Nothobranchius furzeri: one gene and its partner. The protein of the gene in region 1 binds, or shares a complex with, the protein of each later gene. Links are inferred from orthologs where the notes say so. Each region holds a gene or a part of one and is shown on either strand. Other genes may lie near its edges.

What was found.
Region 2: the proteins of rnaseh2b (region 1) and rnaseh2c are in contact, whole or in part, in a crystal structure (PDB 3PUF), measured with the Homo sapiens proteins. The link is inferred for Nothobranchius furzeri from reciprocal best matches to the Homo sapiens genes RNASEH2B and RNASEH2C. Residues at the interface, in NP_078846.2 of Homo sapiens: Arg14, Gln15, His16, Val17, Phe18, Leu19, Val20, Ser21, Glu22, Leu24, Leu35, Met36, Phe37, Val38, Lys39, Leu52, Glu62, Lys64, Phe66, Glu68, His70, His71, Ser72, Trp73, Phe74, Ile75, Asn76, Gln77, Ser78, Val79; in NP_115569.2 of Homo sapiens: Ile9, His12, Arg13, Val14, His15, Leu16, Ser18, Ala27, Thr28, Leu29, His30, Leu31, Leu32, Pro33, Cys34, Glu35, Val36, Ala37, Val38, Asp39, Gly40, Pro41, Ala42, Pro43, Val44, Gly45, Phe48, Phe63, Val75, Pro77.

The regions. Positions count from the first base shown.
Region 1 is NC_091754.1:26,824,112-26,827,128, reverse strand, and holds part of rnaseh2b (ribonuclease H2 subunit B), read right to left. Parts: intron 1,141-3,017; coding exon 1,033-1,140; intron 1-1,032. UniProt on the Homo sapiens protein: Non catalytic subunit of RNase H2, an endonuclease that specifically degrades the RNA of RNA:DNA hybrids. Participates in DNA replication, possibly by mediating the removal of lagging-strand Okazaki fragment RNA primers during DNA replication.
Region 2 is NC_091741.1:88,186,285-88,190,336, forward strand, and holds rnaseh2c (ribonuclease H2 subunit C), read left to right. Parts: upstream 1-1,455; 5' UTR 1,456-1,858; intron 1,859-2,528; 5' UTR 2,529-2,529; coding exon 2,530-2,683; intron 2,684-2,812; coding exon 2,813-2,925; intron 2,926-3,010; coding exon 3,011-3,130; intron 3,131-3,364; coding exon 3,365-3,388; 3' UTR 3,389-3,552; downstream 3,553-4,052.

The DNA.
Region 1 (3,017 bases):
CATTTTCGCTAACAGCTTCTTGCATTTGGATAAGCTGTTATGTTTTGGTTTAGAGTTCATCTTTTTTGTGGTGTAGATCTTCCTTTTATTACATTTAGAGTGTTGTGGGTTTCGGTTTAGTTTAAAATATCACCTTGAGTCTGGTTTAACCACCCAGTTTAGAGTTTGGACCTTTGGAGATCCTTATTTTGGTCCAGAACCCAGTAATCTTTGCCCAGTGGGACATCCCTACTTATTTGTACTTTTGTTTTAATTCCCCACAGGCAGAATTAGTTTTATTATTCCCAACCTGTGGATGGAGAGATTTATGTTTTTTTGTAGTTGTAAATAAACCTGATCATCATTTTAACTTTTAAATCCCGTTATTGTCCCTTCCTTTTTGCACACGAGCCAAACTCCTCAGGAAGAGTCGTAACACCACTCCCCTCCCGCACATAAGTGACCAAAACAAAGCAGCATGGAGACAGTCCGGCTCCAGCCACCTCTCAGGCAGCAGCCTGCACTCCCAAGTTCTACACGTCACCAGAACATAACCAATAAACACAGTGTTATACAAAATGGAAGGTCTGTAGTGTTTATTCTCTTACAGTAACAATTTATCAACTTTTTGGAGGAATTTGAGATTTTCTTGTTTTTATTAATCGTGCAATAAAAAAATAATCGTTAGATTAATCATCTTAATAGCAATTAGAATAGTCGACTAATCGATAAAATAATCGTCATAATAATCGTTTAAAAAATAATCGTTTATCCCCAGCCCTAAAAATTATACATGTGAGTAACAAGATACCTGTATTATTTACCATTTAAAGAGTTCAGCATCAGCTTTTCAGACCTGGTGGCATGTAGTGTTTGATACAATACTTTAGATCATTTCTAAATGATAATTTGAACTCTGAACCTTTAAGTGCACTGACGTGAAAGCTGACTGCAAACTTTTCACAGATAGAAAACAAAAGGAGCCGACTCTGAATCTGTTCCTACTGGCTGAGCTGAATCCGCGGGACAGCGGTCATGAGAAATGGGACCCACCCCTCTGCACAGTCTGGTCAACAAACCAGGAGTGGAAGTCTTCTTCAAACGCTTTGACCTCATACAGCTGTAAATCTCCACTTCCCAGCAGGTACAGAGAGGCTCCATCTGCAGGGGAAAGGGGAACCGTGTCACTTTCACTTCTGCAGGTCACAAGGGTAGAAATATGTCAAAGCTCTTGGGAAACATGCAGAGACTTTGCTGAGATATGACAACTGTGTAGCTGAAGCTCGCGCTTACACATGCACTTTACTGATCAGTTCATCATAAAGTCAACATGCACAGAGTAAGGTGGTAAAAACTGAGTCTCAGGCAAGTTTTACTACCGATTACCAAAAAGAAGTGACATTTGATTTTGTACTTTGTCAAAGTTTGACTTCAAACTAGCAAAGGTACCATATTTTCCACACCATAAGGCGCTAATAAAAACCTTTGATCTTCCCCTGAACCGGCAGTGCGCCTTTTAATACGGATGTGCCTTTTATACATGTATTAAGGTAACTCTGGCCCAGCGCGGTACCCCCCAGCGCCGTCCTTATCACCCTCACCAAATAAAAGGTGTGGCACTGCTCCACACAGCTATACCGGTAACCAGCCATGGCACCAGCAAAGAGACACGCTTATGAGGCAGAGTTCAAGCTCAAAGCCATCGCTCACGCCGTTGAGCATGGAAACATAGCAGCAGCGAGAATACAAGATTAACGAGTCGATGGTCCGCAAGTGGAGAAAGCTGGAAGACCAGCTGCTGCAGGTGAAGAAAACACAGCGTAGCTTCAGAGGCAACAAGGCAAGATGGCCGCTGCTTGAAGACCGAGTTGAGCAGTGGGTCGCAGAGCAGCGAGTGGCGAGCAGAAGCGTCTCATTCGTCTCAAAGCTGCAGCATTAGCACGAGAGATGGACATTGGGGACTTCATAGGAGGCCCTTCCTGGTGTTTTCGCTTCATGCGGAGGCGAGCGCTTTCTATCCGCACCAGAACTACCGTCTCGCAGCAACTACCCGCCGACTACGCTGAGAAGCTAGAGTTGTTCCGCTCCTATTGCACCAAGAAGATGGCAGACAAAAACATCCAGCCCCAGCACATCACCAACATGGACGAGGTCCTGCTTACCTTCGACATCCTGGTGAACTGGACCGTGGAGAAAATGGGGACCAGCACGGTGTCTGTGCGGACGACCGGCCACGAGAAGTCGTGCTCACCTGCCAGGCTGATGGCCAGAAGCTGCCGCTGATGGTCATCTTAAAGCGGAAAACTTTACCCAAAGAAAAGTTTCCCGCCGGCGTGATCATCAAGGCGAACCCGAAGGGCTGGATGGATGAGGACATGATGGCGGCGTGGCGGCGGGAGGTGTACCCCAAAAGACAGGACGGCTTCTTCCACACTTATCCAGGCATGCTGATCTGCGACTCCGTGCAGGCCCATCTCACCGACGCCGTTAAAATCCAGGTGAAGAGAGTTTAAATCTTCATTCTTGCTGCTAAAAGCACCCGTGCATTAAATTGGGACATTTATGTTACTTTAATAAGGAGAAATTTATTTTTTAGTATAGACAATGAGTGGAGTAACGTTTGACTTTGATCTAAGTGCCCAATTTGCCTCAACTGTGCCGACCGGGACGCTCGTTTGCTTTGCGGGGTGCGTGTTTTGATCCAGTGAGCCTTATGTGACGACCAAACCTTTAACTAGGACGCTGATTGGCTGTGCGCCGTATAATCAGGTGAGCCTTATGGTGCGGAAAATACGGTATTTTAAAAAGGTTAGGGGAACATCAGTTTGTAGTGCACTAGAGATCAAGTCTAATCAGTTTAAAAGAGAAACTGAAAACACATTTTATGCTCCTGCAGGGGTGGACCTTTAAAGCGCCCGAGCGCCAATGGCGCTAAATTTTCTCGTCGGGCGGTAAATACTTGACGACTTACCGCCTGGGTGGCGCCCAAGCCTTATTTGTCATTTACACACCGGCTTTCACCTACATCATGGCCCCGC
Region 2 (4,052 bases), on another chromosome or scaffold:
AAATCAGAGGAGCGGAACATTTGAACACATTGATTTAAATTATGGAAAAGAAATGAATGAAAGGAGTAAAACAGCCAAAAAGTAACAGTTAGATTTCACAATAATTAAAACTGACGGCTGGAAGGTTCTTGGGTTGAGATTTTCTTGGAATTTAAAGACGAGAAATTATGTACAGACTTATAAAAAGCAGACAGACGACGTTACAAAGTAAGAGAACAATCCTGTACATTCAGAGAGATGCAAACCACTGAGTCCAATCACAGTCATGAGGGAGAATCTTTCATACCATTTGACTCTACAGTATCAGCCTGACGGTAAGGTTTCTGCTCAAAGAGGGAGAAATTAGTCAGGTTTTAAAAGGTGGATAAAAGGTCGGTTACAGTAAGGTCGAGTTATTTAGGTTCTAGTTGTTGTCACTCATGTTAGATTTCATTTCCATTGAAAATCAACATTTTTAAGATGAACTCATAGGCAGGGAGAAGTTTTTAAAAAGTAAACTAAGTATTTTTAAACCAAAAGTTAAAAAAGCATACATCTGAATTACATTTCCTTCTGTCCTTATGAGATGAACTCACCTCTGGTTTCTTTTGGACCAAATATGAGCTGTTGGGAAATCAGACCCGACGTTTCTCAGTCCTCTCTGGTGAAACACAAACAACAGGCTTCAAGGATCTCATCCTCAGTGCCTCTGAGCCCAAAGCGGGACCGGTTTAGTCCAGCCCACAAGGACAGGGGACTCTTCCAACTAGAGCATATATATACATGTCAGTTTTTTCTCCAGTGTCTCCATGAGACCCCTACAGTGTAGATGAGACCCCTACAGTGTAGAACAATGATATAATGATTAAATTAATGAAATGTATATGTTTGATTATTAAAGTTTACATTTGAGTTCATCCTTTTGGGGGGTTTGTGTTAGTTTGCCCTCTTACTGTTTCATAAAGCTTTTTTTAATCTTGTGAATAGGACTTTAATAGATTATTTTATACGTTTTCTATTTCTGACTCTGATTGGCAGCTCCTCACCTGCTTGGTTCATCATAAATTCACATGTGGCTACTTTACTGATCAGCAGATGATTAGGTAAATAAATTGTAAATGTTTTCTGTGTAGTTCACATTTGCCATTTTAAAGTTTTCTTTCATGAAATGCTGCTTTAGCAGGGATGTTTGCTGTCCTTGCAAAAAACAAACAAAAACAAAAACATTACCCTGAACTACTCGGCACTAAGCATGTTTAATATTTAGTTACACCCTCTCTGGGTGGTGACAATATGTATTTGACCAATTTAGCAAACATTTTGGTGATTTTTTCCCCCCAAGAAGATGATTCAGCAAGATTATCATACTGTTTGACACTCATTTTTTTTAAGTCAACCTTAAATTGTATAAATTATAATATTGGCAGTGACAAAACATATTTTTTTAAAAACTAAAACTAGCTTTTAGTTTATTAACTCAATATTCCTCCTAGCACTTCAATGTTCCCTGTCCCACTGGTTGCAGTTCAGGTCCAAATAATGAAATATTTTATCTAGGGTATTTTAGCTCAAAGGTTTTTATTTATTTAGATAAAACACGAATTACTCGTATACGTAATGAACAAAAATAAACCCACTAATGTGATCTCCAAGTCTCACACATTTCTAAGTAAAAAGTAAAAAAGAAATTTCTTATTTTTCATTGTTGAACGTCAAAGCCAAGTTAAACCTCACCAACAGGGGGCGATAATCTGCGACAGAACGGAAACACCTCGCCAAAATGTCCTTGAAGTAGAAGAAGAAAAATTTTATCCAATCAAACGAGTGTCTCACATTATGCGGAAGTAGTTCCGTTACGCGTTTGGAAAACAGTAGAAAGGTAAACGTGGAGATTTATTTATCCAACGTTAGTTTAAACGGTTTAACTACATGTATAATAGTGTTTGAGCAGAACAAAAAGTCCTGGGTAATAATGTAGTTTTAATCCTGTAGTAGGGAAGTGTTTATGTGATGCAGCATTTAAATTTATTTTCAGCTTTTGAATTTCCCTCTAAATAACTTCAGTAACTATTATTTACTTTGTCTAACAAACTGTTTTTAATGTCAGTTCTAGTGAGTGCAGAAAACATTTGTGTTTAGATGACGATGGTGATAGTAGTTATAATGAAAACAGGACATAAATATAGTTTGACAGTAGAGGAAAAAGGAAATAAAGAGATAAATACAAGGGAGTATGGCGTGTTTTCCTAAAAAGGACAAAAGTAATAATAGAAATGTAAATATATTATTTTTAGATGAAGGTTCTGCATTTATTTACACCTAAAAGAAGAGATGAAGCCATCTAATGCGTATAAATAACAATTATATCAATAGAAAAGCAAATAGCCAACCACCAAGTTGTGATCTACGCTCAGATTAAGTCATGTTAGGCTTTGTGTTGCTCAGAGAAAAAGGAAGAGACCTCTGCAGCAGAAAAAAATCTTGTTTGGAAAATGTCTAAAATGACTCTTTTAGTGTAATCTGTTCAGTCTCTTGTGTTCTGGCTACAGGATGAGCTGTAACACCAGTGTAACACATCTTGATGTGACTTCACTGGGGCAGGTCAAACAGGCCCAGGTCCACCTCATGCCCTGTGAGATTGAGTATAATGGACCTGCCCGGGTCTCAGAATATTTTACTTCTACTACAAAAGACCGTAAACAAGGTACACAGTCTCACATCTGTTACTTGTAACATGTCTCTACTGGCGGTCCGTGTCGCTTACTACAAGTATCTAACTTTCAGTAGTTTAGTTAGTCCAGCAACAGTTTATCATTTAGTTTTCTAATTACAGAGAAGACGGTGTCATTCAGAGGACGTGGTCTGAAAGGACAGGAAATCAGCTGTCCACAGGGCTACACAGGCCTGGTGTTGAAGGAGATCAACAAGCATGGCTCTGACCAGGAGGTAAACATCAAACACTTAAGGCGATTTTCTGTCATTTCTACATGTTAATTTATACGTGTGTGTGTGTGTGTGTGTGTGTCCCCAGGACAGGACAGTGAGGGTATCATCTGTGTTTAACAAACTCACCTACTGGAACCTGGAAACTCCTCCAACCTCTGATGATACTGTGGTGATGGCCATGGACTGGCCTGAGCTTGCAGATGCTGTAAGTTAATTAGTCTAACTTTATCTGGATGATGGAAAGATTAAACTGAACAGCTGTGACTTTACTTATAATCTCTGACATATAAGGTAAAGCTGGAATGTGAGCACGTGTAGGAGCAACATTTACTTGTTCCTATTTGCCTAAACACAAACTTCATTAGGAACTAAGAACTATAGAAAACACAAGCTGGTGTATGGATTTGAAGTTGGATGATACTGTTTTGTTTTTTCACAGATCCACGGGCCGGTAGCTGAATGAACAGACTGATAAAACACCCTGTTAGGGCTGATGTCTCTTCAGCTTTTTCCAAGTGGTACACATCTTGCTGCCAGCTAACCAACGATAACAGAGCCAGCTATTATATTGTACCAATTATTGCTCACATTTTATTAAAAAAAATTGTAAATAAAGACAAAACATTACTGGCTGGTATATTGTGTGATTTAATGGAAAACAGCCACATTTGTGCCACCTTCACAAGATTATTTTTATTCACAACAATTAGATTTTGGACGTTCACAACCAAAAAAACACTAAATATTCACCGCCTTTGATCACTTTCAAAGTCATTGGCTTGTATGCTAAATTCTGCTCACACTTCACTGTACACATTTCAAAAAGTTCTTCAGGCACAGTCCAACTTTACATTATATAAATAAGGCAGAAACGTGCACGTGTGTGTGCACTAGAAAAGGGTCACACTTGGTAAAACAGAACTAACAGCGGATCCCTTCATTTTAATTCAAACTGAAGTGGAAAAATAGAATTAGAGATCTGGATGAAAACTGTCAACACTTGTTGAGTATAAACTGCTTTTTTATTACTAAATTTATCTTAATTTTAAGAGATTGTCCTGTTTTCTAAGAAGTACCACATGTTTGTTACATACGTCCTACAGCTGCAACAGTAATACACCCCCACT